2 linked regions of the Arabidopsis thaliana genome follow. The protein of the gene in region 2 interacts with the protein of the main gene of each other region in a pairwise test. Each region holds a gene or a part of one and is shown on either strand. Other genes may lie near its edges. The genes, in order: AT4G35160 and AT4G27350.

Evidence for each region.
Region 1: the proteins of AT4G27350 (region 2) and AT4G35160 interact in a two-hybrid assay, tested with the Arabidopsis thaliana proteins (one large-scale study listed by BioGRID).

What each region holds. Positions count from the first base shown.
Region 1 is NC_003075.7:16,730,055-16,734,897, forward strand, and holds AT4G35160 (O-methyltransferase family protein), read right to left. Parts: upstream 2,870-4,843; 5' UTR 2,755-2,869; coding exon 1,930-2,754; intron 1,259-1,929; coding exon 935-1,258; 3' UTR 649-934; downstream 1-648. UniProt on the Arabidopsis thaliana protein: Methyltransferase which catalyzes the transfer of a methyl group onto N-acetylserotonin, producing melatonin (N-acetyl-5-methoxytryptamine). Does not seem to possess caffeate O-methyltransferase activity.
Region 2 is NC_003075.7:13,689,886-13,694,868, forward strand, and holds AT4G27350 (membrane lipoprotein lipid attachment site-like protein, putative (DUF1223)), read right to left. Parts: upstream 2,948-4,983; 5' UTR 2,737-2,947; coding exon 2,260-2,736; intron 1,454-2,259; coding exon 1,094-1,453; 3' UTR 760-1,093; downstream 1-759. Other genes in the region: AT4G27340 (Met-10+ like family protein), read right to left, coding at 1-485; AT4G27360 (Dynein light chain type 1 family protein), read left to right, coding at 4,147-4,284, 4,459-4,632.

The sequences.
Region 1 (4,843 bases), 3.0 Mb from region 2:
AAACTACAAAGTATATTTTCCACCAACCGCAAATCATATTTTTTATGTTAAAATAATAATTTATTTCGTTGTAAATGTATTTTACAGCAATAATTAAATTAATATAACTAAAATTAAAGATTAAAAATGATATATTTGGTAATGATGTTAAATATTTGTCATTTGTTAAAATTATAACATGGGTATTTTTAGTCATTTTTATTAGAATGAGAATGTAGATAAATTAAAAAATAATCAAGCAAAGAAATATTCATTTAAATACATTATTTAGATAAAATACCAAATGATCAAACAAACATCATTCACATGAATCATTCACATGAATCATTCAAATAGATCATTTGGATGTAAATGTCAAATGATCAAATAAACATGGCTTAGCATGTTTTTATCAAGTCTTTATCTCCCCAATCGTATAAACCCCACTGCCACTCTCATCGTAACCACGTAATATTTGGGTCTATTCGTTGGACCACTTGTTTATGTTTGAAAGTATGATTGAAGCATTTAAGACTTTAAGAATATTTCTTGATATTTATAGTTTCTTTTTATATCAATGATTATACCTTTCCACTAAATCAAGATTTTACAAGCAAATTTACATAATTTTGAAAACTTAGCAAGTTTATTTTTAATTTGTTTTCATGTTCATAATGTAATTGTAAGATTTGACATTGTATAAGGTTATCTATCTTATATAGCCTATAACAATTAAAAAAGTAAATTAGAGGTGCCACTCACAAGGAAATTAATGATAAAAAAATGTGAAAAATACAAATAAAAAACAACTCTGCTGATACTGAAACAAGCCTTACTTATTATCACACAACACAATTATTCACCCACACGTCGTTCTGTATAAAAACACCAAATCAACAATCACTAATTTATTGAGTTTTCCTCAAAGGAAAGATATATCTTTCATGTCCTCCTCTTAAGACCGATACGCGATTATAAGACTCTGAACATCATCAATGTCCCTAACCTCATATCGAGCAAAGCCAGCTTCTTTAAGAACAAAGTCCCATTCTTTCAAAGTCCGTTCTTTGCCTGTGCTTGTGTGAGCCATCATCACCATATCAAGCATCAATCTCACGTGCTCTAACTTTTCATCTCGTTCGTCCACTATCATCGTCTTTTTATTCTCTCCGATCACCGATTCCACTATCAACACTTTTCCGATATTTGGAGGGACCGCTTCTTTGCAATTCTTCAATATCTTTATGCAATCTTTGTCTCCCCAATCGTGTAACACCCACTGCGCCATTCATTTTTTACATTTTTTGTATTAGCAAAACAAATCCTTAAAGTGAGATTCTGTTCAATTTTCCTTGTTTTTAATATATTAAAGATCTCTCTTATGTGTACTGTATTGGTTAATAATATCTGGGGAAATTAGTAGTGGTTGCTTTATTTATTTGATACTTGATAGTGATTGTTAACTTGCTCTCAGTTGATTCGCTCGCTACTTTAATATGTCATATCTAAACTATTCATGTTTAATGTTTTAATGGAAGAGGGTAGAAAATAAATACTGAAGTCAACATCCAAATATTTTCAATTCCTTTTGTCTGTACAAAATTTTTAAAAAGTCGGATTTTAGAAACAGTAATTAAGCTCGACAATTATTGACAAAAACAAAAATGTTTTTACGGCAACAAATCAACTTAATTAGAATTAAGAAAAAAAAGTTAGTTTATAACATTAATTCATTTTTTTCTTGTCTTTTATGTGAAATTTGATTTTGAACACGAATTAAAGTTGTAAGAAAGAATAAAACTAGATTTTTAGTGATATTTTTTTAATCTTTTCATTTATGTAAAATTTGTTTTGAACACTAAATGGAAGTTGTAAGAAGAAGAAAAAAAGTAATCATAGTGAATATTATTATTAATCAAAAGAAAATAAGAGTATGGAAATGAATTTAACCTTGATGAAAATGGCGTCGCAAGCCGGAATAGAATCAAACATATCGCCCTCAACATTCTCAACACCGTCCAAGACTTCAGCAACTTCAATGACATGAGGAAGATCAAAGTTAAATCCTTTGATCCAAGGAAACTCCTTCACAAGCATCCCCATCGTCTCTCCCGTACCACCTCCTACGTCAACCATCGTAGTCACGCCATCAAACAAGCCGTGACAAGCTCCGGCTACACGTGGCACCACGCGCCTTGCATCACAAGCCATGGCCTCATTGATCATATCGCTGAGGAAGGGATTATCCTGCGCGAACGACCACACGTCCTTACCGTGCACTGCATCAAACGGTGGTGGAGTTGAACCGTTGACCGGCGAAGAAACGACTGAGCTAAGTCTCAACCATGGAGCGAGCATCTCGGGAGTTGTTTCGAAGAGAACAAAAGGAGCCAGCGATTTTCCATCACGTCTTGTGATCATCAAACGGCGAGAGAGTGGCGTATTAACGTAGCCTGTAGCTAAACCATCTTTTGTGGGGATTTCTTTAAAGATTCCTTGGTGTACAAGAAACCTCATTATACGGCGGAGATGCGAGGGAGAGGCGGAGACGGCGGAGGAGAGTTCGGCTAGTGTTACGGGCTGTGAAGAAGGATGGTTTTCAATGGCTTCTGGTATTTTAAGATCAATGGCACACTTTGCAGCTGCTATATCTGCAAACCCAAAGACATACTTCCATATGTCTAGAGAAGCTTTCGCTTCTTCATCTAATACTTTTCTTTTATTGTCTTCCATTTTGTTTCTATCAAGGAATTTGCTTAGTTGATCTGAAGACATGGTGAATTAGAGTTGAGGAATTAGGTTTTTTTTATAGCGATCGGAAAATGGGGGCACAATAGTAATTTGGTTTTATAAAGACACAGTAGTAAATTTCTGAACCGGACTGAACCCAACATGTTCAATGAATTTAGTGTTTCAATAAAAAAATATTGTTCCGACATCAATATATATGACATTTAAGAATTCGATTCAATATTTTTTTTCATAAGATAGAGTTCAGACCACCTGGTATTTTGTTAGTTTACTGTCTTTTATTTTTATTTTTTTGTGAAGGTTTACGACTGTCGACCGCCGAATACTACTATAGATATATATATATACATATGAATTATTTGTCTTTGGATTTCCAAAACAGATCCATTAATAAATAATATTGATTTATTTTGTGTGGACTCCAATCAGATTTAGTCTCAAGCTAGTAACAATAATACTAGTCGAGACAAAAGGCATCGACAAGCTTGCTTCGGTGTTTTTGGCCAACCAACTTTGATCCATCATTCCGTCTTGTATATTACATGAAACTTAGGAGTAATGCTTTTTCAAAAATAAAAACAAAAACTTAGGAGTAATGTCTATGAGTTAAATTCTACCGAATATAGACTTAAATCTTCCCTTATAAAAAAATGCATTCTCAAGCTCTGTCAACCAAACGAATACATATCAACGTAGCTGTCAAATGTCTCGGACATGTGTCATTTGTATATTAAAAAAAATCATCATGCAGAATGACTTCTAGTATACACGTACACATGTACATCATGGATGATGTTTTTATTGAAAGTTGATAAACTACACTGACTATGTTTTCAGTTCAATTAGCTAGCCTTGCTTCGAATATATACTTTGGTGTAGTATCATCATTAATTTGTATATAGTTTTATAATTTTTGATTATGGAGCCTGTGCGTGTCTTGGTTTCCTTCGATATATTAATGGTAGTGCCAAAATAATGTTTAATGTAATTTTGCCAAGCCAGAAAATTACAGATCCACAACTAGCTAGTGTGGGGTTGTTAATAAGACAACAAATTTTTTAACCGTGTTTACTGTCACTATAGATAGGCATGTACGCTAGTTAAGTGAAGTCACACTGATTACGAAAGGATGATTAGATTATACTATATGATATATCATGCATTAATGTAATTAAAAAACTTGCGATTTCATTCACGACGCTTTGTAAGAGAGGATTTCTTTCAATATATTAATAGAAAGCTTTAAAAATGGAAGTAATGAAATTGCGTTAATCTCGTGTGTTCTGTGGACGTCAAAGATTTTTTAAAATAAAGATTACACTCCGTGAGTGTCGCTAATCTCGTGTACTATTACTTTTTACAGTGTCTCTTTTCTCACATTTTATATGGTAATAACAAAAAAAAGGCAGTAAGATACAAGATACAAGATTATAGTTGACGTCAATAGTAAAACAGAAAACATAGGCAATAGTTAGAAAAAAAATTAAAAAAATTCAAGGAGGTTTATCAGTTTGTGAGTTTTAACAGATATGTGTCAAGTTGGAAAAACAAAAGTTCAAATATGAGGGTGAAAATTGTTATTTCGAACGCATTTCTAAATAATAGTTAAAATTTACATATATCATTTTAATTCCATTTTTTTAGCTTTGTAATATTCATTTTTTTAATAAAAATCGAAAACTTTCAAGGATTTTCCAAATGACCAAATCAATGAAATAATACGTAGTCAATAAATTCCTCTAAACATGAAAAGTAAAAGAGGTTGCTTATTGGGATGGCCTCTTTGATATATGTAAACACAAAAAATGTTGAATCAGAGCATGGACGGCATAAACACACATAACCTACACATCTGATCACTTGACCTTGATCTGAGGTCCTATTTTAAACATGTTAAAAACAAGGTTGGATTTTTCGAAAAACTTTGCAAAGAGTTACGCACACAAAAGTTGAAAGTTCTGGTGTGACATCTATTCTCGGTGGGAAATATTTCCAAAAACACCAGTACAATATTTTGTCTGAGCCATTTTGTGCAGGGACCATGATCATACTCGATTATTAATTATGTCTCTTGCTTTCATTGAATATGATATTTTTTCTCATAAATTTGTTG
Region 2 (4,983 bases):
TCTTCTTCTTCATCAGTCTCACGGCCCAACAGCTTCACCACATCTTCTTCAATCTCATCTCCAGGAACCCTAGCAATGTTCCGAATCCTAGGCCAATTAAGAAGATGACCACGGAGACGATTCTCGAGCGCGAAACAATCCTTCGCCGGGACTCGAATCGCCGAAATCTCAAAAACCCTAGTAAATTCATCTTCATTCAAAAGAACATCTTTCTCAATTGATTCATCAAACTCTCCAATTTTGCCTCGATGGGCATCTCTGTCTCGACCAATTGAAGCTAATCTAATATCATCTAGCACAGGCTTCTTTCCTTTCAGAAGAGACGGGCCATACGGAAAGGTGGTGGAGGAGAGATTACTGGAGAAGACACAGAAGATAAGGGTTTTAGGTTTGGGATAGGGTTTAAGGATAAAACGAGCAGAGTAGGAAGAGATGACTGGAAAAGGAAGTGAATTGGCTCGGAAAAGAGAAAGCTTTGACACCATTTTCTGATTCACTCAGCTTCCTGATGGATTTGGGTTTTGGTGTTGGGACAATGAAGGTCATTTCCCGCGTTTGTGCATCAAAGGTATTACTCAGGGAGCATATTAGAGATTTCATCGGCAATAAGAACGAACATATCACTCTGCTTTCAGATTTATTTTCAAAAATAAATTATCCTAAAATTTTAAACGACGTCGTTTCAATAACTAAGCGTCAAAACGATGTCACATTGACATCCCAACTAGACTGTTTACAAAAAAAACAATAAAAAGGGTTTAGGGTTTTATAAACAACTAGACTGTTTCATGCATCCCAACATTTATCAGGACCAAGATTCGTGGAATGGAACTTTGACATACTGATTAACTAAAAAAGGGTTTAACTTAAAAAGAAATCAAATGAAGTAGCATGAGAAGAGAAAGGTTAGGATAATATGAGTTGAAATAAAAACAAATTAGAAGAAACCTTAAACCCTATTAAGTTATAAGTAGTCACACATTTATAACTGTACAAAAGCAGAGTGGAACCCGAATGATTATCACAAGCAAAATATGGACGATACAAAGATCGGTTTTCTTTTCTTTATTTTTCAGATATTAGGGAAATTAACTCAAATCTCATCAGGTAATTTAAAACTCTGTGTACCAAAAATCTGAAGAGAAGAGTTCTGAAGAAAGACGGCGACTCCACATTTGCTGCTGTTGAATCCATCCCAGAGCGTAAAATGAGCAGTCCCCGAGACTGGCTTCTTCGGTGCTACATCTTTCACAGTGCACATCTTTTCCATCTTTCTTACAACGTAATCATTCGACAACATTCTTCCTTCGTTCTCTCCTCTTGCACAGTCGTTCACAAGCCCGGTTTCGTATATTGCCACCATTATGTCCATTCCGTCTCCGTCTACTTTCATTCTCAAAGCTCCGGTGAGTGATACTTGCAGTGTCTCTGAGGTTGGTCTCTGGAAAGTCGCCTGGTAAAGAGAGAAACAAATGATTAATATTACATGTGAAAATTTCGACAAAAAACACCACTTATGTGGAGAGTGACAAAGCCAATGAAGAAGAGTGAGCCACATTGTTCTGTTTAGTCAAGAACTCATTGAGTTCAAGAGCAGAGAAAATTCATGGTTGAAGTAAAGTTTAGTTAGGTAGCTAATCCTATGACACAATCAACAAGAACATGTCGTCGAACAAAAATTTATCACAGATGTTGTTTAGTCAATTCACCAAAAGTAGCTAATTCTAATGCAATAGAAGCTTGCTGCATTCATAAAACTACATTCCCTGTCATATATACCTATAACTATCTAGAAAGCAACCACATTGACCACTTTTTTAGCAGAGACAAAATCCCTCTAAAAGCAATATTACTCCTAAATGTCTAATGATCATTTTGATACAGAGAAAGAGCATCAGCGACCTGGATACAGCCCTGTACCTAAAGAGAACTCTTTGATTTACTATATTAAACATTCACAAGACTCAAGGACAAGCGACACTGCAAACCATAGGACACATTTTCCTAACACAGAGTCAGATACAAGAACATGCTCTTGAATCTGCAGGCAAGGCGCAAGAATCAGATACAAGCTTCACTTGGAATCCTATAATATTCTCCTATATATTTAGCACCAGAAGACACTCAAACAAAACAAGACACTTACATTGAAATCACATAAACAAGAGCTGAAATCTACCATTAAATCTAATTCCTTCACATCAAGATCATCACAATCACCACAACAATCGAATAGTTTACAATGTTACGAAAACTCACCCGGAAGGCTGGAGAAGGAAACCTAGGCGCTTCGGAGATAGATTTGAGCAGCGTCTCCTCTTCGTTTCCGATCAATTGAGAACGACCTTGGATCACAAGCTGCGGAGTAAACATCGTATCCAGATTCAACGCCTCTATATACGCCTTCTGCCTCACCGTCCATTGGCTCGATCCATACGGATCTTTCCACCCCTTGTAATCCCAATAATCCACATGAAACACCAAAACCATCGTCGGAGATCCAGATCCACCATCTTCGCCACGGATCTGAGCGTCGAAATCACCTCGACCTAGCCGGGACATCAACATCTCCGCCGCGGGCGATGTTTTACATCCCTGAGACGAGAATAGCTGGACGAGAACGGGACCATCTCCGGCGGGAATTTCTGCGGCTACGGCGGCGGAATTGTTACCACCAGAGATAGGTTTAGTTGAAGATTTCTTGAGGCCGAAACAGGCGAAAAGACGGCGCGACATTGGATAAAATTGTTGACCGTCTCTTCGCCTCCTCCCGAAGAAATCGGATATAAGAAAGAAGGAATGATCTGGAGAAAAACGAATCAGAAAAAGGTGTTTTCCCGAGAAAATTTGAGAATGTCTTTCAGAGAGAGATCTTCAGGAGGAAGAAGATTAACACGTCGAGCGGCACCGAGAGAAACGCGGCAAAGTGTCTTTACCTTTATACTGTACTTCTTTTTTTAATAAGGAAAATTCTCAAATAAAGTTTTTTTTTATAAAAATGGAAAATTATCGTATTGGTGGAAAAAGCTGTAGAAATAAAAAATTAAATTGGAGCTTTTATTATCCTTGTTATACGGGTCGGTGACACGTCGGGAAAGACAGGCGAATAGTTTTGTTTGAGCTGGCCAACGAGTTTATTTTTGTTTTCGTTTAAAGAGAGAATTAAAAAAACAAATCTTTCTCGTCCTGGCAAAAAAGAAAGAAAGATTTACTTGCCAACCTCAACAATTAAAAAAAAATGTTATATTGCTTCTTTGTATATTTTTTAATTGAGAAAACACTTTGACAAAAAGAAAACAATTAAAAAAGGAATATATATATACATTTGTTAGTTTAACAAATTTGAGATTAAAAAGAAAAAACAACTTTGCTAGTGGGAATTAATATGGAAAGAAAAGATTAGCTTAAGAGACATTTAGTAAAGATGTAAAAAAAAATACATGTTAAGAGCTTCAACTAGTCATACATGACATTGTAAATAAAACAAAATATACCCACAAAGTTCTATAGTTCTAAAAAAAACTTTTAACTTCAAAAATAAAACAATAATCTAACTTTCTAAGTATAGTTTCTGAAGGTTAAATAAAATTTGACGTCCATTTTCTTTTCATTGCTGAAATTCATTTTGAAATAAAGGAGAACCACATATGTTTTTGTCCCTTCTTCTTCCCTTCACTCGTTTTTGCTCTTGTAATCTTGCTTGCACTTTTTCTATGGCTTGTTCAATCGTATCCACTCACATTGTGTTTTCCTTTTACAACATGCCGCACAACAGCCCAAGCTTACGGTAATTTTCTTAAAATGATGGCAAACAACCACTTTATGATCATATAAATGAATATAGATGTGTATATGTACTTCATATTTGAAATCGATTGAATGATTTGGTTTTGACCACATATGGAACGGTCCATGCAAATCCATGTGGCTGATAAAACTACGACAAGTAAAAAAAAAGACGCTTCATGTAAGTTCCAACATAATCTCCACCACTATCTTGGAGCTTCACTCTCACACACACATCATCCCATCATTTTTCAGTATATATAGAAATATTAACATACAATATATACTTGCATAAACTAACTTGGTTCTCTTAGATATTTCTTTAGAGTTAAATAATCATATTCAATTTTTTTAAAAAGGATGTTAGAAGGGAAAGCAGTAATGGGTGATACAGATATGAAGCAAACAATGAAGGAAGATGCTCTTAGTTTGGCCTCCAAAGCCCTTGATTGCTTTGATGTCACCGAACCTACTCAAATTGCCCGTTTCATCAAGAAGGTTCACTAATCATATATTGCAAGTTTTAATGTGTATTAATCCTGACTAGACATGTATTTTCTACCTATACACTGTACATATGTATACTGAAATGAAATATGATTATGAATGTTATACAAACTCCATAACTAGAGTTTCATGTCAATGAAATTCAAATCTTTTTGATTTTTTCAGGAATTTGATAGAAGTTACGGATCGGGGTGGCAGTGCATCGTGGGGACGCATTTCGGATCTTTCGTGACTCATTGCAGTGGCTGCTTCATCCATTTCTCAGTTGGCAGCCTTACCATTTTGCTTTTTAAGGGATCAGTCGGTGAACCGGCCCCCCCGGACCGATGCTCTAGCTAATTTAGACAGTATTGTAAAATAATCAAGTCCTTTTCGATTGATGTAGTGTTAAAGTTAAAGAGTATTCAAGTTCTTTCACTGTAATATCAATCATGATTCGTCGTTATGGATGTCTTCAATAACAAGAAAACACTGCTTTCTCAAATTACATAGACAAAAACGTCTAGAGGTCAAAAACTTTATCTTATGTTTTCATTAGAGCTGTATTGTGTGTAGAAATCATGTGGTTATAGATCAATTTTATTTAGCTTCTGCCTTACCAGCCGGTTAGCTCTCAGTTAGTTTGATTAATATGGAATTTACATCGTTAAACATCCTAAAACCTAATATTAGTATTCGGTACATGTGAAC